Nothobranchius furzeri: one gene and its partners. The protein of the gene in region 4 purifies or fractionates together with the protein of the main gene of each other region. This does not show direct contact. Links are inferred from orthologs where the notes say so. Each region holds a gene or a part of one and is shown on either strand. Other genes may lie near its edges.

What was found.
Region 1: the proteins of sp1 (region 4) and stat3 purify together in Homo sapiens (affinity purification with western blotting; 4 studies listed by BioGRID and IntAct, with this or other methods). This does not show direct contact. The link is inferred for Nothobranchius furzeri from reciprocal best matches to the Homo sapiens genes SP1 and STAT3.
Region 2: the proteins of sp1 (region 4) and pparg purify together in Homo sapiens (affinity purification with western blotting; 3 studies listed by BioGRID). This does not show direct contact. The link is inferred for Nothobranchius furzeri from reciprocal best matches to the Homo sapiens genes SP1 and PPARG.
Region 3: the proteins of sp1 (region 4) and rb1 purify together in Homo sapiens (affinity purification with western blotting; 3 studies listed by BioGRID). This does not show direct contact. The link is inferred for Nothobranchius furzeri from reciprocal best matches to the Homo sapiens genes SP1 and RB1.
Region 5: the proteins of sp1 (region 4) and smad3a purify together in Homo sapiens (affinity purification with western blotting; 7 studies listed by BioGRID, with this or other methods). This does not show direct contact. The link is inferred for Nothobranchius furzeri from reciprocal best matches to the Homo sapiens genes SP1 and SMAD3.

The regions. Positions count from the first base shown.
Region 1 is NC_091745.1:6,845,724-6,849,804, reverse strand, and holds the start of stat3 (signal transducer and activator of transcription 3), read left to right. Parts: upstream 1-1,273; 5' UTR 1,274-1,414; intron 1,415-3,704; 5' UTR 3,705-3,820; intron 3,821-4,081. UniProt on the Homo sapiens protein: Signal transducer and transcription activator that mediates cellular responses to interleukins, KITLG/SCF, LEP and other growth factors. Once activated, recruits coactivators, such as NCOA1 or MED1, to the promoter region of the target gene.
Region 2 is NC_091743.1:63,452,095-63,455,639, reverse strand, and holds part of pparg (peroxisome proliferator-activated receptor gamma), read right to left. Parts: intron 358-3,545; coding exon 158-357; intron 1-157. UniProt on the Homo sapiens protein: Nuclear receptor that binds peroxisome proliferators such as hypolipidemic drugs and fatty acids.
Region 3 is NC_091750.1:48,282,515-48,286,695, forward strand, and holds the start of rb1 (retinoblastoma-associated protein), read right to left. Parts: upstream 2,834-4,181; 5' UTR 2,685-2,833; coding exon 2,578-2,684; intron 2,254-2,577; coding exon 2,133-2,253; intron 1,828-2,132; coding exon 1,724-1,827; intron 1,309-1,723; coding exon 1,174-1,308; intron 1,083-1,173; coding exon 1,044-1,082; intron 923-1,043; coding exon 873-922; intron 1-872. UniProt on the Homo sapiens protein: Tumor suppressor that is a key regulator of the G1/S transition of the cell cycle. The hypophosphorylated form binds transcription regulators of the E2F family, preventing transcription of E2F-responsive genes.
Region 4 is NC_091743.1:62,039,811-62,043,147, forward strand, and holds part of sp1 (transcription factor Sp1), read left to right. Parts: coding exon 1-451; intron 452-1,881; coding exon 1,882-2,023; intron 2,024-3,242; coding exon 3,243-3,337. UniProt on the Homo sapiens protein: Transcription factor that can activate or repress transcription in response to physiological and pathological stimuli.
Region 5 is NC_091749.1:43,502,284-43,506,322, reverse strand, and holds the start of smad3a (mothers against decapentaplegic homolog 3a), read right to left. Parts: upstream 2,845-4,039; 5' UTR 2,619-2,844; coding exon 2,416-2,618; intron 1-2,415. UniProt on the Homo sapiens protein: Receptor-regulated SMAD (R-SMAD) that is an intracellular signal transducer and transcriptional modulator activated by TGF-beta (transforming growth factor) and activin type 1 receptor kinases.

The DNA of each region.
Region 1 (4,081 bases), on a different chromosome or scaffold from region 4:
AATCAAACTGTTTTTTCTTGTCAGATAAAGAGCAAAACATAATGGGAGGATACATCTCTTACGGTAATCTATTCTGAATGTGAAGTCAACTGCCTGTGGCAGCGTTCAACCTTTGTCACATTAGATCATGAGAGGAAACCGTGCAAGGCTCCAGACAGAAACAAGAGGAGTGCTTCTGTTTCTTCCTCCCTGCAGACTTCTATGACCTTGATGTGTTTGCAGGCACCCAGAAGCATTGTGGCAGAGGAAACACCACCCAAATAATCAATGGATGGGGAAATGCAATTAAGGAAAGTGTTTACTCTCTCTCTCTCTCTCTCTCTCTCTCTCTCTCTCTCTCTCTCTCTCTCTCTCTGTGAAAGCTAAGCAGTGAGAAAGACAAAAGAAAGCATGCGTGTGATCGTGTTACAAGTCTATGCAAACTATTACAACACACCAAGGGGAATTGTTATCTTTACATAAAAATAAATTATATGCTTGTAAGATTATCATTTTTATTTTATAGCTTTATCTTTGTGTTGATTTTTGACAGATATATAAACGATCTCCCATTACCTAAATGTGTTTTTGCAGCGGTGTAATTCAGTTTTCTTTTCTTTTCACTGTTGCATCTGTAAGTGGCGTATGGCCTTGATGTCACTGACTGTACCTGCCAGACTCAAGGTGTTTTGGCCAAACAGGTTCAATATTAATAAACGCTTATTACATAATCCACCAGTTTAAGGTTTGTTGACTGTTTTATCTATCTATAAATCCATTTATCCACACGTGTGTCATTTATAAATATTATTTTAAATAAACTTAGTTTGATTACGTTTGGACACTTGTATTAATTATTTTTGTCCCGTTAGGATTAACACTAAACTGCAGATGTGTTATTAGACTCGGTGACGTCAGCATTGCCAGTAACTCAGATGACTTCCAGGCTGGCTCTTCTTTTCAAACGCCTTTCCTCCCTCCGTAACAGCCGAACATGCTGTTCTTTGAACGGAAAACCCCGAGGAGGGAGGACTAAGAGGAACAGCCCAGTTGCGACAGCAGTAAACATAGCACTCAACCAAACATGCTGTTACGCCGCGCATCTTTTCGTCACACATCTGCTCTGATTTGGTTAACAGAAATTTCTATATTGCTATTTGCCACTTGGAATGTCAATCAACAACAGAAGCGCGTTTGATTGGCTGAAAAGACTTGCAGAGCGGCTGATGGGTTGGGCTACTGGCTCTAGGGTTGAAGAAGTGTTTCTCGTGTTGTTAAGGGAAGAGTAAAGGTTGGCATCTTTTGTGAGTGTTTTCTCTCGTTTATGTGGGTTTACCGTTTTAGAAGAAATTAAGTGTTGCCTTCAGTGTACTTTTAGTTAACAGTTTTCGGGTTTTTGTCGGAGAATCTTTCCAAAGACGTGACAACGACTCGGGTAAGCGACTGCATTCAAACTAACTTACTCCATCTTTATTTGTGAATGTTTTTTTTATGTAAACCCGTTATCAGTTTATATTTACTAATGGCCATGATATAAAAGGCTTGGCCAGCTGAACGCTGCTAAACGCCTATTTGTGCTGGTCATAAGTTATTCTGTGTGCAGAAACATTGTGTTCCGCTATGGCATATAGCAAAGTTATTATTGCCTTACTGCTTTTAATTAATTATTTCCGATATAAAATATTACAGCTAAGACGTTCAGTCTTGAATAGTTGTTTTTTTTTCTTTTGTTGTTGTTGTTTACTTTCAATAATGTGTTTTGGCTCAATTTATCAGTAATTTCGATCTGTTGGTAAAACAAAACAAAAAAAAATTAAAAAAACAGTAAAAGAGAGAAAGAGCATCTTCCAGGATATGAATATGACCCCATAAAATTCCAGGCCAGTGTTTGTTATAAGCCGTCGTTGTTGTCACGCTCATCTTCACCCCATCATGTGCAGAGCTGCATAACAGGATCAGATCCATGATCACTTTCAAAATTAAAAGAAAAGAAAAGTGTAGTATTGACTAATGACACTTACTATTTTAGTTTGATGATGTTACAACTGAAAAAGAAAACCCATTATGATCATCATTATTATTGTGTCCAATAACCCGCAAGTGTCCTGCCTGTTAACTGTCAGTAAAATGACAAACTTGGCATGATTGCTTCTTTTTTTTTTTTTGTGGAGAGCTCTACTTCCTGGAATGTGGCTTGTCTGTTTTAAGGAATCTCATTGTGCATTACCGTAAGTGGTAAATGCTCACTGACAAAACACACCTAACAAGATTAGAATTTTTTTTTTATGAGTCATGTTGAATATTGAAGTCCTACTCTGCCCGTCTGGAGTGTGAAAATACTCATATGATGGGATACTGACAAAATTAGGCCAAATCATTGTCTGTGTGTAGCTTTGTGTAACATGAGCATCTTCAAAAGGTTCCTATCATGTATCATGTGAAATGTGTGTGACCTCAGCAAAAGGTCTTTGTAAAATATCCACCAAACAAAGGGCACAGTCCTGGGACTCACCAGTGCATCAGTTTACAGAAAATTTTGGCTGTTTTTACCTTCTTAGCTAAACAAAAGAAGTAAATAATCAAGCACTACTGTGTCTCCTCTGTGACTGTAGACACTGAATAATTGATTATACAGCCAGGACCCTCCCCAAACATAATTAAATCATCAAAAACATGAGAGAGATAACTCCAGTAGCATTTATTCTTTTTGGATAGCAGGTAAGAAGGTAGGGCGTTTGTTCAAAATTTTCTAAATAAAGCAGTACCATTGATTTGACCATGGGCAATCCTCTTGTGATGTCACGTTTGTTGGGGTTTCACTTCCTCAGCAATTCTCACCATGTGTTAGCATCATTTTCATATACCAGTGAAAGAGGAGCATGTGTGATGTGAACTTATATAAGGTGACACAAATGCTTAAAAAACACCTTTTTAGCTCAGTTCTTATTTTATTACAGCGTATTAACTACTGTATCAAAACATGTTTGAATTTCAGCGTATTAAAGGATAAAATGAAAGCTTATGAAACACTGTTTTTCCATTGACCTTTAAATTTGGCAGAAACAGGTGATGCTGATATCCATCCATCCATCCATTGTCTGAACCCGCTTTGTCCACATATGGTCTCGGGGGGGGGGGGGGGGGGGGGGGGGGGGGGGGGGGGGTGTCAATGAGCAATCAGGCGGGGTACACCCTGGACAGAGAGCCAGTCCATCGCAGGGTGATGCTGATATCGCTGACCTTATTCTTTTTAGCTTTTACAAAGGAGTCACGCCTAAATGTAGAATAGCCTCCCTTCATATTCCAAGTCACGTGGCCTAATGTACACAGATTTACGATGAAACTATTAATCGTGTGTGCTGTCAGATAAGACCTACATAATGCTGATGTTTTGGGTGTTTTGAATGGAATAAATTATTAAATGTTTCTGTTTCTTTTAAATATGCTGAATCATGAAAGATTTTGACAGAATATTAAGTCCCAAGTTTTATCGTTTACAATTTTATCAACACTTACGGCTGTTTTATTTAGTGGATCGCATCATGAAACCAAACAGAAGGGCTGTTACACTAGCTCTGCTTTAGCTTGTGTATACAAATACTGCCAAGCTCATTGTACAAGTTAAGATTGTGTGCTTCACCAGAGTTTAGGTGATACCGTAACATTATCCTTGTAATGTAAGCATTAAACAAAAGCTTTGCTTTGGTATTTAATTTCCATGACAGGGAAGACGGCTCTGCTGGATTCACTGAATACCTTTTTTGTCGGTGTGCAGAAGACAGTAATCCTCCAGGGACCCATGCAACCTCATTTTGGTCAGATAAAAGCCTTGTGTAACAAGGTAAATGAAAGATCTGATCTGAAGTTGCATTATAATTCTAAGAAATGCAATGTGAAGTTAATCATTAAAGACAGGAATGGTTCTGTAGTTTCTGATCCATGTGCTCTGTCGCTGACAGCTGAGGAAAGGAAGTGTGTTTTTTTCTTCATTGTTTCTAGTAAGCCTTTATACAAAAAACATTGGTTGAGATTATTAACTTCTCTCTACTTCGAGAGCTGACAGCTGTTCAGGACGTCCTGTATTTCTTGGCGGAAGTCTAGC
Region 2 (3,545 bases), about 1.4 Mb from region 4:
AACACAAGATAACTGATTTCAAACACAGGCTTAACTGGTGGGGACACAACAACAGCTTTCAGCTGAATCGCTGACTAATCCCTGCTTTCTGTATTCCTATGCCAAATTTTCCCAGAAATCAACATTATTTAAGTGGAACTTGGGCAGATCTTCTTACCACTTTTTCTCCAGTCTTCCCAGAGAGGATGGCTCTGGCCTTGGCCTTGGTGAGGGGGAAATGTTTTAGATAGGCTTCATAGAGATGGCGGGCCAGAGCCCTCAGATCCGCTGCCTCCGGGTGCAAATGCTCCATGTCGGATGAGAACTCGGCCAGCAGTTTGTCCTTCTCCGCCTGGGGCATGCGGCCAAAACGAATGGCTGGGAAAGGAAACAGAAATGTACATTAGAGCACCACGGAAAAACAAAAAATACACAAATAAACAGTGTTAGACTCAGGCTGAAATGTTTCATCTAACACCGTTGTGGTGTTTCAAACTGAGCTATAGACAATTTGTTTATAACTTTATTGTTTACATTAAAGCAGAAATCCGAAGATTTTTGTCAGAGGGCACCGAGGCAGAAAAACGTATTGCACCTTTAGCCCCTCACAGATACTTCCGTGATTTTGGTTAGAAGCAACAACACTTAGTCGTGAACACGCATCTCTAGCCGGCCCACAGATAAAACATCGTTTTACATTGCAATTACATTTAACTCTGGAGATATGAAAAAAAAGTAATTTAAAAAAAGCTTTGGCAAAGCTTTAAATTGAACCTTTTTTCTTTGGTGAAAATAGAAGAATGTTTATTTCTACGCTGGTAAAGAGTTGCATAACAAAAGCAGTAAATGAATCAATGGCCTTTTGTCTTTGGAACTTTAAACTTTTTATTCCCCACCACAACGGTGTTAGATGAAACATTTCAGCCTGAGTCTAACACTGTTTGCAATTTTTATTCCAGCTGAATGATACTGTATGTTTAACTCCCTGTTTTCATGTTATCCAGCTTATTCACATATATTTTAAATACTTACTTGTCCAAAAGAAATGCCGCCAACTCTGCATTGTCTATACGTCCTCAAACACTCAAGCATGCTTGGTGACAAAAGTGGATTTGTGATGCTATTGGCTAAAGATGAGCGGCGCTCAATTCAAACTGCATGGGGCTCTGTGTGTGTGTGTGTGTGTGTGTGTGTTTGTGGGGGTGGTGGGGTGGTGGTGGTGGGGGGGGGGGGTGTTTAGACTTAGCAAACTAAAAAAATGACTTACTGTCTACATTATATCAGCGTACAAAGTAAGAATATCACTTTTATGGATTTCTAAAACTTAATTATTAAATCCTGAAAGGGGAAAACTCCAGATTTCTGCTTTAACTCCTAAATCCACAACCTTCCTATTTTACCTTTACCATTGTAAACTGACGTCTGTTTTAAGTAGCTGCATAATGCTTCTCTTTTGGAGCCTTTCAGCTGCTTGTGCAGTGGCTCAGTTTCCTAAGAGCTAAAATATTTAGACGGCGATCTATGAATTAGATAGAACGGCTAACGTCCACATGATGACCTTCTATCTGGACCTAACAAATATTACTGAAGCACAGAAATTTTTATTCCAGCTGAATGACACTGTATGTTAAACTCCCTGAACAGTTCCTAATATCTAACTGCATCACAAACAGGCTAAAGCAGTTTTTTTCATGATGTGAAACCAGATTTCCGAGCGTTTAAAGGCTGAACCCAGAACAGAGACATGAAGGGAATTCTTAGACAGCTTTTAACCGAGCCTCACGAAGACAGATGCAGAGGTAATAACTTAAGATAAATGGTCCTGTAACATTTTTAGCAGTTGTGTATTAGTTCCCTTACCGTGATGATAGCTTTGTGATTTAATTTACACGACTCACTGAAAAATGATCCCTATCTACAGTTTTTCCCCTTCCCTTCTGTTGCTGCAGGTAATTTAACACCAAACATTTAACAATACTGAACAAAGAGGGCGGGTTTGATTTCATTTGCAAAAAGCGTGTGCTCTTTTTGTCTAGAAATATTCAGAGCATCGAGTTTAGAAGCGTAGTTTGTTTGAAGTATATTTTTGTGGCACTCACAACATTATAGTCTTTCAGGCTGTTAATTTAACTTCACTACTTTAAATGTAGTTTTGGCTAAGTTTACACTGAAAGTTGAATTTGCACAGAGTCTGGTGAGAATTAGGAAAGATTTCGTGCCATTCAGTGACGTCTAACCGTTTCTTAAAAGGTGGAAATCATTAATTATCCCCCACTTCCATTCAAACCTGCTTTTACTGCAGCTTTACGTGGTTGTGTAACTCTTGTGTATTCGATGAAAGCACACCTTGTGCAAATTAATCCAAACAAAAAAAGTGGGCCTACCACTTATTGAGCAACAAGCCTGCAGTAGTGACACAGCATGTTTGGAGAAATCGGTTAAACTCGGAGTGCTCTGAGATGTCAATCATTGGTAAATTAAAAACCCACACTGGGCACATTTTCAAAGCCTCGGCTGTAAACTCATGAAGCAGCGAGATAGGAGTGAACGTGGGCTGAGTCACACACACACACACACACACACACACACACACACACACACACACACACACACACACACACACACACACACACACACACACACACACACACACACACACACACACACACACACACACACACACACACACACACACACACACACAGATAAACAAACCAATTATAGTAGATTGTAACATTAATGTGCAGCACTTTTGCTCATAAATCTAAATGTAAATATTTTGTTCACCAACTCCACCCATAAGGTCAATGCATTGGAGGGTAGCTTCTGAAGAGTCTTAACGAGAAGATTCTGATGAACAAGCTGCTTTCTTCTAACTGTTATGCTTCTGGTAGAAAAAAAATGAAATTTAACAGTCAGCTTGCCTTTGCATAACTGAGAAACTACTGCAGCAGTATATTTGATTCAAGTTTTAAAAGACCATATTTGCTCATAGTAGCAAACAGGAAGCAGTTAATAGACTAAATAGCTTGAGAAAACCAGAGAAAAGAAAGAAAATGATGAAACAATCATTTAAAGGTCTAGAACACTTGTTTAACTCATTCACTGCCAATGACGACTAAAGCCGTCATTTGCATTTTTTTTAACTGTGTGGGCATCGGAACGAGCCCCCGCACAGTGAGAACAAATACCTCAGCTCTAAAGCCGATCTTCATCCGCATACGTCACACGTCACGTGATCAGGAAGCAGAAAATCCATGTGTTAGATCGTTTTGGGCCGCTGCTTTAAAAAAAGTGAGGCGCGAACCGGAAAAGCTTCTGTTCAACAACGGATTATGAAAGAACGGACAAAGAGCGGATAAAGCTCAAAACGCGCAGATTCTTCCCGACATAAGAGGTGAGTCTCCGCTTTGTTTTGGTTGTTTTGGCGTCGACATCATCCTAGGGCGCAACGTTTTGTGACTCTTAAAAAACAGTAAAAACGGTGAGAAACGCTGGCAGCGAAGGGCTTTACTGATCAGGAAACGACTGGCAGCGAATTAGGTAATCAGTACATTTGCTGTGGT
Region 3 (4,181 bases), on a different chromosome or scaffold from region 4:
AGTACATATTGTTTGCTGAGCTTACGTACAGTTTTAGTAAAGATTCTACGCAACGTTTGATAAATGAGACCCCTGAACTTTAATGATTCTTTTGTTCATGTAGCTATATTTTAGGTCTATTGTAAGAGGAAAAAGTACTTAAATTTTCTGTTTATGAAAAAAAAATGCAGTAAACGTTCAGTGTAAACAGTAAGCTATAATTTAACAAACGCCTATCCTTCACCTAAAGCAAGAGAACACCTATTTTGGATATTTGTATTTAAAAACAGTGGTATTTATTTGTGCTACACAAAAGTAAACAGTATGAAGATAAAATGTAAACTTTGATTTATTCTTTGGTAAATATGAAACATCTACTCTCAAAACCCAAAATGAAAGATAAACCCAAAGAAATGGAGAAATGAACATGCTTTTTAAACAAGAGGCAAAGCAAGTCAAAACTATTACACTGCAAACATGGTCTACTTTTATTTTATTTATTTATTTATTTATTTATGGGCAGTCAATGACATGCACTGGCTTGCAAAATGGCGCCATGAATTATGAAATTGCTGATTTTTCCATACGACACAAATGTGATCCCAGATGTTACGTTTAGCTCGGATGTTTACAGTCACAACATGTGAGCAAAACTTCCACTTTTTCCATGTTATTATTGTCCGCAAACTCAGAGAAGTGTTGTAAATATACTGTGTGTGAATAAGAGAGCAGCCCACCCCCAGTCACATGACCTGCAGCAGCCAATGGTATGAAACTGTGTGGCTCATTAACAAGGATGTTTATTTTCTATATCAGTGCCAACCCAATGTATTCAGTTTATGTACTCAGCCCTAATGTGTTCACTTGTTAGCGTGTTAAAAAAGGACAATTACCTTTGGCCAAAAGAAACACTGTCCAGCATGTCTGCATCGTCTCTCTCTCCCTTTAAAAGGAGACAATAAAATATTAACTATACAAGAAAACAGTTTGTGATATAAAAAATCCAACATTAACGAAACAAAACACATAAAATGTGTGACAAATAGAGCTTAAACTCAACTTACTTGCCATACGTGGTCGAGGTAAAGATCTTCTTACAGGTTCTTACAAAAAAGAAGAAGAAAATGTTATGTCGTGTTTAAATCTTTGCCAGTTACCACTCCGACGGAATGAAAAGTGTCCGTGTTCACTCACTTCTCAAACCTCTGGTAGAGCGCTAACAGCACATCATATTTCTTCTCCAGTCGTGTAAGAACAGAGTTCACTTTGGTGCTTATCGTATCCAAGTTCAAATCCATCTGCCTCACCAGTTCCATGAAGAGTTTAAAACTTGAGTCAAAAGGAGAAAGAACGTTAAGAATAAGGGCATTTATTACTAATAGTCAAATAACCATTTACTAAAATCATTAAAAACACATTTTTTATCTTGTCAGTATTCAGACATTAGAAGGAAAAATAATGTAAGATACTAAATAACCAAACTGAATCTTCTACTTGATTGATAAGAAACATGAGGAAAACATGGACAGACAGTGCTGCTATAGAAGCAGAGAAAAGCCGCCATGGGAGCACCCACGTCAGTGCAACTAAAAAGGGGAGAGGGGATCATGATTAAAAATAATAATGGTATAATTTTAGACAAGCATCTTTATTCTAACGATAATTCAAAACACCACAAAAAAGATGTGTTATGCTTTTAGAAGAGTGCACCACAAGGAAAACTCAGCTGACACTCAGTTCTTACTTCATACTGATAGCTTTTAGGATCTGAGTCAAGGTGAAACAGCCAACATCCATGTCTGTTACAGTCACAAACAGACAAGCACCCCAAAGCTTTAGCTGACGATCCTTAAAAAAACAAAACAAAAATACACAGTTACAATCAATGTAACTAACAGGATAAAATTTATCTGTATCACTATAAACATTCACAAAATACGTGTATGAATGAGAGGGACCCAGATCAGAGGGTTTGGAGAAAAGGAGGAAGATTTTAAACACATCAGTCCAAAGTAATGGAGTGTAGAAAAAAGGTGTGATCAAGAATGAGTCCATCAGAGGGTCAGCTCTTGTTAGATGTTTGGGAGATAAAGTCAGAGGACATGTCCAGAGAAGGGACAGTGGAGAATACTTAGGTTGAACCTCATCCTTACTTTAACGATCTCCATGGATTCCTGCACTATTTTCCACAAGGACCAGGCACGGTCACACACCAGGCCAGTAACATGAAGGCTCTTACACAGACTCACAAACTCTCCATCCTTGTCTCTGTGTCTGGAAGATGAAAACACACAGATCCCAACATGAAAGACAGCCAACAGCAGCAGCTCTCTCTCTCTCTGTCTGTAAACCTAACAGGTCCAAATATAAGGAGTCTATGTTCAGTTTACTCCATTTAATAATGTTCACGGCTAAAAATTCCCTTTAAACTCAGATATTAGCACCAACAAAGGCCTGCGTTAACTTTGGCCAACAAGATGGCCACAGAAAAGCTATCAATACTACTAGAACTAGCTAAACATGAATGTAAAACTAAACCCAACAGCTGATGACACTCTTGGTGTTGTGTTGTAACTCAAACATCTTTACTTTTCTTACTCTTTCTCAGATAATTCCGGACTGTCCTTGTCTGGAGAGGCGTTGTCAGCTCCGGACTTCGGCTGCTTGTTGTGTACCATCCCGGAGTGACGTTTCTTAGGTGGCATACTTCTCGTCTCTGGGTACCTGACAAGCAACTTTTATCAACCCAAGAAACTTGCACTTTTTATTTTATTTAAGGCAACGGCTAATATTATTCGGGTTGGACACGCAAATAAGCTCCGTAGCAACAATACAACAAAATCCGAACTGCTTCCTGATGCTGTTGAAAGTGTGTGCTTCTTTTGTTCAAAAGGAGAGCGCGGCGGAGAGCCGGTGACCCCACCCTCTCTAGTTTACGCTCATGATTTTCTTAACAAACACCACCTACTGAGTTCCAACAACAGTCATGTTTTGTTTCAACTCGACGGCGTAAAAAAATCTAAAAAATCACTACAATAAACAAGTCGTAACGTTATGTTTGTTTTAATAGTTCTCGCGGACCGGCGTGAAGGACCACGTGACAAAAAACCCAAAACGAACTTACCCTAACTCACGAGACCAAAACGCGGGAAAATATATCTACGTCACATCCGCTTTTGCATTTTCCCCGCCACTGAGGGACAGTAGAGTGCGCCCACAGCTTTAAACTACTGTAATATTACGTTCAACTACCTATTAAAGTTAAAATATATATTTTTTTATGTAAAAAACGCACAAAACAGTCAATGGTTACTACATTGCTTCTAATAAAATACACCAAAAACACAGTTCTGTCAGAAATTACTTTGTTTTGGAAAAACAGCGAGTCGATCATCTACGGTGTAGCATTTACTAGTCAAAACTGAAATACAGTTATCAGAATGAACTTTTCTACAAGTAGATATGTTTTAGACTTCCATCCCGAGTTGTGGTTAGGATGCGTAAACATTTGGTCCAGCTATACCCAGAAATATTTCAATTTATATACAGCACTTCAAGCAGTTTGAAAGTAAAAGACTCCTGTACCAGTTTGTTTTGGTAGATCTATAGTTGTGTAACATGAAATAAAAACTAAACAAATAGGTACAATTTTTATTTCACTTCTCGCTCTACGTTTTTGTTTTTGTTGGGAGCTGAAGCAAAAAAACTAAGTAAAATTTAGAGCCTTCAGCCTTGAGCAAATCGTTTCCTTTTCTGGGATGCAGCAATAACCTGAATCTTAAGTATTAATAAAACTGAAAAAGGTACAAAAGAGATGAACCCATCAACACATTACAGACAGACCGCTTAGAACAAACACATTTATTTGGATAGATCTGTGGAACGTACCATAGATGACAGTTTTGCAGCTTTATTTTTTATTTTGGCACCAGCAAGGTGGTTCTTCAGTTTGCTACAACAGGTGAAACAACTTCATCATTTCCTGCTGTCTGACCTGTAGCTTTTCACACAAAAAAATATAATCTCAGATATTCGAAATTATATTTTTGCTCATCAGAATTCAATATATATATATATATATATATATATATATATATATATATATATATATATATATATATATATATATATATATATATATATATATATATATATATATATATATATATATATATATATATATATATATATATGCCATTCCA
Region 4 (3,337 bases):
CAGCCAGACAACAGAGCAGAGCAGCAGCCTCAACAAATCCTCATTCAGTCTCCTCAGGTTATTCAAAGTGGAGCACCTCTTCAGACCATACAAGCCAGTACCGTTGCAAGTGCAGGTGGTCAGGTGTTTGCAGCTCCAACACTCAGCCAAGAGGGGCTTCAAAATCTTCAGATTATGCCAAACACAGGGCCTATCCTCCTGCGCACTGTAGGCCCTAATGGCCAGGTTAGCTGGCAGACCCTTCACATCCAGAGTCCAGCAGGTGCACAGATAACACTAGCCCCAGTGCAGTCTCTGCCCCAGCTCGGGCAGACTCAAGGAGCTACCGGAGCTGGAACGGTACCGGTGCAGATCCCAAATCTTCAGACCATAAATCTCAACTCACTTGGAAGCACAGGGCTGCAGATGCATCCTCTGCAGGGAATCCCCATCAACATCACAGGTGCATCAGGTTAGACCAGCTTGTTTATAAGTTTCTCATTATGTGTCTCAATATGCTTTATAATAACCTCCAGTCAACAGTAGGACCATGCTTTCTATAACTCCTGAGTTATGGAAAACAAATTTGTGTCATTTCTATTTAATTAGCCCACATTTTATCATGACTGTTTACGAACCATTTATTTCCTAAATATGATAAAATTTAGATGCAAAAAGAGAAAAAGTACATGCAAACAACAACAATGTCTCAGGATTAGTATCTTTAAAATGAGGTTTCGATGTTTGGTATCGCTTCACTTTGCATGCAAGTTAAATTCTGGTTAAACCAGTTCTACTATCTGAGTTTTCCCTGAGCCTTAAACTGTAAACAAGCTGTTTGTGTTCGATTTCTTCATCTGATAGTTAAATTACACTGAAGGCAGTTTGGCATAGTTACTGTATTACACAGGGTATCCGCGGGTCCTTAAAAAGTCTTAAATTGACTTTTCCAAATTTAAGGCTTTGAAAATCCTTAAAAATGACAAATAATCCTTAAATACAGTTTCCAAAGGTCTTAAATTACCAAAGACCCAATAAACTAGACTGTTTTATTTCTATGACATTTTTGTGAATTTCTAGTTAGTGTTCAGCATTTTTTGTGTACGATGTTGGTGTAAGCGGAACCGCACATATTCAGTTGGTTGTGAAAGGGAGCTATTTTTAGATGAGCACATTCGCTGGTTAAGCTAGTGGGAGCTTACGCCATGGAGAAGTGCAAGTTTAATGGTAACTGGATGGCTAATCCCACGTTCGTGGCGTGGTTAGGAAATTATAGCAGAAATTACATTTTAAAAAATAGCTTAAATTTGGTCAAAGTGGCCTTAAAAAAGGTCTTAAAAAGTCTTAAATTTGACTCACTTCAACCTGCAGTTACCCTGATTACAGCACAGGACCATTCCCCTCTTCTCTCAACCCTGTTTGTGTTTGTTGCTCCTAAATTGAGCAAATTCCAACAATTGTGAGAAATCAATTATGGAATATCTGATTCACCTTTCAGTGTCAGAGCTGACTTTACACTAGCATTTACACAAGTGTGGAGGGTAAAAAAAAGCGTAAACATTCGTATCATTCAAATTGGTTGAATGGTTTTGTTTACAATGGTACAACAAAACACTATAATCCTCTCCAGTTAGCCAGCTATGTGGAGATGAAGCTGAGTTTTTGGTGTTCAGTCTAAGCATGCACTTCTCTTCCCATGGATGCAAAATGCATTGACCAGTTGTTCAGCCATTCTGGCTAAGCTGCAGACAATTAACGGCAACTTGTTATTGTCATAAAAAATTAAGTAGAAACCTTGCTGAAAAGTGTGGTTGTTTTCTATACCGAGTTTGATAAATAAAATTTCTTCAGACAAAGAAAATCCTCAACACTTTTTCCCACGCTCTTCCTTCATGGGTGTAGGTGAGCAGCCGTTGCTGACTGCTGGAGAAAGTTTGGACAGTAGTGCAGTTATGGAAGATGCAAGCATGAGCCCACCCTCTCAGGGGCGCCGGAACCGCAGAGAAGCCTGCACTTGTCCTTTCTGCAAAGATGGAGAAGCCCGGTGAGTGACTGAAGGTTATGTTATAATGTCATCCTGGTCAGATTTTAATGTAACTCTGAGTTTTTATGTTCTTATGATGAAATGTTATTTGTAATTAGTTTTTCACAAAAACAAAACATGCTTTTATCTTAAAAAAAAACATTTCGTAAGTACATTTGTCAATGCTGGTCAAAAATGTCTATTTTTCTTTCATTACATGAGATTTAGTGACATCTAGTGGTGAGGTAATTCAGGTTTGCTGTTTGAAACCATTTAATTGCTCATGTGTTTTTTTTTTAACCCTCTCAGGCTCAAAATAAGTTTGGATAAAAGGAAGTGTTGTCCAAGTGTTTTGACTGTTATACGTTGTTTATTCATTTTCCACTATGGAAATCACCAAGAGACGAGTGAGCATTGGTGATGATAGAATGAAGAACTAATGTTTTAAGTTCCTGCAATCTTCCATTACCCCAAAATTCCACTACCTCCGCTCCGCCCCCGCCTTCCGCAGCCGCTCCCTTCCGAACTCAATTTTTACTGGTACCCGCTCCGGTGCGGAGACCTGAGGTGCGCAAACGGGCATGCGCGGGATTTTCGAGATCTTGCAATACAGTCCGAGCAATAAACGTGGAACTTAGATCCAAACACCCGACCCGTTGTGTGGGAGCAGCATCGAAATGAACTGTTTAATCTGCCCATCATTTGTGTTGAGAGATCAGCAGTGCTTGGATCAACAAAGTGTGACTACTTTGATTGTAGAAACTGTATTTATGGCTTATTTTTGTGCATTTAAAGTTCAGCCGCCATTGATAGTTGTTAAAAGTTGTTAAACCTGTGCATATGAAACAAAAAACGCCTTTTTTTAATCAATTTATTGTGAAATAACGGAAGCTGTGTTTACTCCTTTTCCTGTTGGGCGGTTGTGGTTTCTGTCCATTGACTGCGGAGGTGCTCCGGCGTCCGGCAAAAATAGAATCGATCCTATTTTTGCCGGATGGCGGAACGGCGGGCGGCGCACTGCGCCGCACGGCCACAGTAGTGGAACAGCTCTGATTGATTACAACGGGATCGATTTTGCTGCGGAGTTCGTGCCGGAGCGCAGCGGAGCGGAGATAGTGGAATTTTGGGGTTAGTGTCCATTCTTACTTCGATACAGAGGGTAATTTGACCTAGAAATTTGGAAGCAAATAATTCTTTCAAACTCATGTTTTGGCAATTGTTTATTTTATTTGTCCAACAGAGACCCAAATAAAAAGAAGCAGCACATTTGTCACATTAGTGGCTGTGGGAAAATTTACGGCAAGACATCCCACCTCAGAGCACATCTCCGCTGGC
Region 5 (4,039 bases), on a different chromosome or scaffold from region 4:
TTAGTTACAAGATCACACGTGCAGAGGAGTTAAAAGTGATTCTGATGTTTAGAATACTTTGATTTACAGATACAGTTCATAATCATTTTGACTAATGTATAATGTGTCCAATTTGCTGGCAATAAATCAAGTGACTGCTTGGAACAAAAGTCAAAACTAGATTAATAACTCCCTCAGATTAACAAATATAAAGAAAGGATGCTACAAACAACAATAAATACAATTATCAGTTACTTTAAAGAGGCAATGTGTAGTTTATACCATTAATCTCTGTAAATATCCATCAAAACAATGTTGAAAATAAATTAAATGATGTCCAGTTGTTGAAAAATATTGGCAGCATTGTACCATATAACCATAAAAATTGAGTGTAAACTGCATTGTGTGCAGGTCAAAAATCTTTGGAGGACGCCATATTAGATGCCAAGTTTCCTTCTGGAGGGCTCGCAAGCTTGTGCCTGTCGATGATATCACACTAGATGATTGGCTAAGCGTACAACCTACAGAAGTTACGTTACCACATTCAAAAATATCTTGGCAGTGAGAAACAATAATTTAATAACAAAACTGCTAAACTTTTTCCAAAACCTATGTGAGAGAACAGAATTGAAAAAGAGATGCAATATATATTTGGCTGAACGGTATTTTCGTAGTATGATGACGTAGGGCTGGGCAATATGGCCTAAAATATATATTCTGATATAATCTGAAGCATGTGCAATAACAATATTTATTGCGATGTATTTTTTCCTCTGTTAATATATGTCAAAATGACATGCTTTTAAAAATCCACATTTGGCAAATATATTGCAGCAGAATAAAGACGTCCAAAAAGTAGAATGCTCCTCCTCCTCTGCCCTCTCCATACTTGCAGTCACTGCCATTCTGTTGTCCCAATGTCAGGGAGAGTGCACATTTATTGACACCATGTGTTACCATGATAGAGCCAAAAACTCTATCATTACCCAATTTTATATCGTTTCTACCTTATATAGTTTATACTGCCCACCACTACATCATTGGCAAGCGCAGGACCCCTGAGCAGCTCTGGAAAGTACAGCACCAGAAAATTAGCATCTGCATTGCATTCTCTCTATGGAAATACCTGAAGAACAATCAAAGTTTGAGGAGACACGCCAAGGTTGCATGCTTTCTGTTCCACAGGTAACAACATTTACGGTAATGTTTTTTTTTTTTAACTAGCGACAGTCACAGCAATATGGTGTAAAACTACCCTGAAATGTATGTACTGCCCCCTGGCACCAGGAAACTACACGTTGCCACCTTAAGATGGTAAAATCTTTTAAAATTTTTAAGCATTTTTCATTAGCGGTTTGCTTCTTGGCCGTTTGCACATTACTCCTGCTTGGTTCAGTGAATACCAACTTGTTACCTAATGAAAAAGTTGCCATCAGTAATCGTGAAGCACTGTTTCATCCCAAAGTGCACACACTGATGGTTAAATAATACAGCCTTTAGAATTGTCAGAGCTAAAAATGGCATTTATTAATCCAGCTGACAGCTATGTTTCCCTCCTCCTTGCAGAGAAAAAAAATGAAATCAATAAGCCAAACCACTATTCATAATTTATTCATCTGACCACTGAAAACCAAACACAGCTGAATTATTTACTGTTCCAAGGAGATCGTTTGAATTAATTAATTTAGAGTGTTAAATGTTAACTTTTCATCCCATGAGAGCATTTTTGTCTCTAATATATTTTGTCAAATGATAAACACCTTTATTTGCGTTTTTTTTTTACATATTTTCTCGTGTTTGCTGTTGCATTGCCTCCAATTCTGCCCACGCTATGAAAGCACCTGTTACACATAGTAACCTGCAGTGGATTTACTTGTATTAAATAAAAATGCTGATATATGTCTGTATAGAGGCATTGAGAGAAGATAGAGAGCCCATCTAGACTCGCCTACGCACTAACAACGCTAGAAAACGTTCCAGATTAAGGCCAAGTTATATAACTACCAGTGCACATTGCATGTGTGCTATTGGCTCGTTATGCTTAAAACGTGTTTTTGACAACATAATCTGGGTCATACCAAGCTGCTAGGAGTTGTTTCAATTCACTTGAAGTGCAAAATAGCAATATGATGACACATAGATAACAGACAATAATACATTTGAGCCGTAATTTACAGATTAGCTGGTGAACTGTTTCCTTAGCTAAAACTTTGATGTTTAATAAACGCTAAATAACTGAGTTTGAAATATTAACGCGAGAAAATATCTGGAAATATTTGCTTCTCACACAAGAAGTGGTGCCTTTAACGTGCAATAGACAGTAAAAGCAGTGGCAGATTGGTATAATTTGTTATAAAGCTGTAATAAACGGATAAAACAGCGCGTGAGATGCTAACTTTACGGTCAGCATCAAACCAACCTGCTAGCTCTCCTTACCTCGGTATGGTGATGCATTTTGTGTTGATATTCTGCGTGGTGATGGCTTTCTCCAGTTCATCCAGCTGTCCCGTCTTCTTCAGCTTCTTCACTAGACTTTTCACCGCCTTTTCGCACCACTTCTCCTCCTGGCCGTTCTGCTCTCCCTTCTTCCAGCCCAAAAGTCTTTTGACGATGGGGGGAGTGAAAGGCAAAATTGACATCTTGAGTTCAGTCAAGTCCGTCCTGTCTCGAGAAGTCTGCTGGGTTTTTTTTCTTCTGGACGTTATACGAAAACGACTACCTTTGTGGCGGTCTACGCAGTGACGAAGAGAGCAAGTCTTCGCTAAAAAGTTATTGTTTTTTATCTAGAGCTACACAGGAGCATCCCAGGGCCAAACTTCTCAGTTTTAGCGAACTCGTTTACCCTGGCTCGAGGAGGTAAACGGCGGATTGTGCACCGGTATTCTTTGGTGCTGTGGATTTAGTGCTGCTCCGCAAGACCAACTAGTCCGTCTGCACCTACTCAAGCAAATGTTATTTAAATAACTCCAACCTGAATTAAAATACGATTTAAAACTATGAATAAAACGTTAAAAAATAAAGGAGTAACGCTAGTGGTGTGTTTTATTGACTGTTCTAATCCTCGAAGCGCAAAGTTTTGTGAAGTTCAGAACCCTCCGCGGTGTGTAGTCCGCCGGCTGAAATCTGCTTGAAGTCTGCATCAGATGCAAATGCAGGAGTTGCTGCTCAGACTCTATTCAGGCTTCAGACTGCTGCAGACCTGTAGCAGCTCTGTCACAGCAGCTGGCCAAAGGGGCCGTGCTGATGTTGCACAATCACTGCCTCTCCTCATGCTAGCAAACTGCTGCGGTCTATAAAAGCGGTCATACGCAGCACTTGATTCAGTTATGTAACACCAACCAGTTTATTTATTTTTTGTCCACACTAGTGCACTTAAAAATGTATGTTTTTTTCTTCAGAGGAACAAAGAAGCTTTGATGTTTATTTAAATGACTTTATCTCAGTTAACTTTATGTAACACAGTTCAAACTGTAATATCACATTTTTGTTTCTTCCCACTCAACACTAACATTTTTTTCTGATTTACCAGGAGAATACATTCATTTTTTGCTCATATGTTATGTTTTTAGAAATCGTCATATGCTCAAGTGTCTAAAGGTTAAGGTGTAGTGTAAAATATGTCCAGTGTGTGTTTGTTGTGTAAACACCTGGGGCTTGAGATCTCTAACACAGAACTTTCCAGTAATGCTCTCTGGGTTGTTCTACCTTCACACGACTGAATAACACTGGAGCTGCTGTAAGACAGAAGGTAATAGAAGTAGCTGCACGCATGCATGAGTTTGCACACTTTCTTGCCTCGGCTTGTTAGGCCTTCAGATGAGTGCTGCTACTCCTCAAGGTGGCAATTTAGTTTATTGCTTGGTTCAGCCTTTAAATTACAGCTATAGTCAAGCACATGCACACACTCTCATATGCATAAACACCCCCTCCTTCATGCACTGAATGTCAAAGAGTCAAGTGCCAGATGTACGACTGAGTGTGGAGTAGAGCTGAGCTCAGACAGTGATAGTGGGTAGCCATAAATGCATTTCAACGAAGAAGGTGGTCCTCTGTGGGTTTT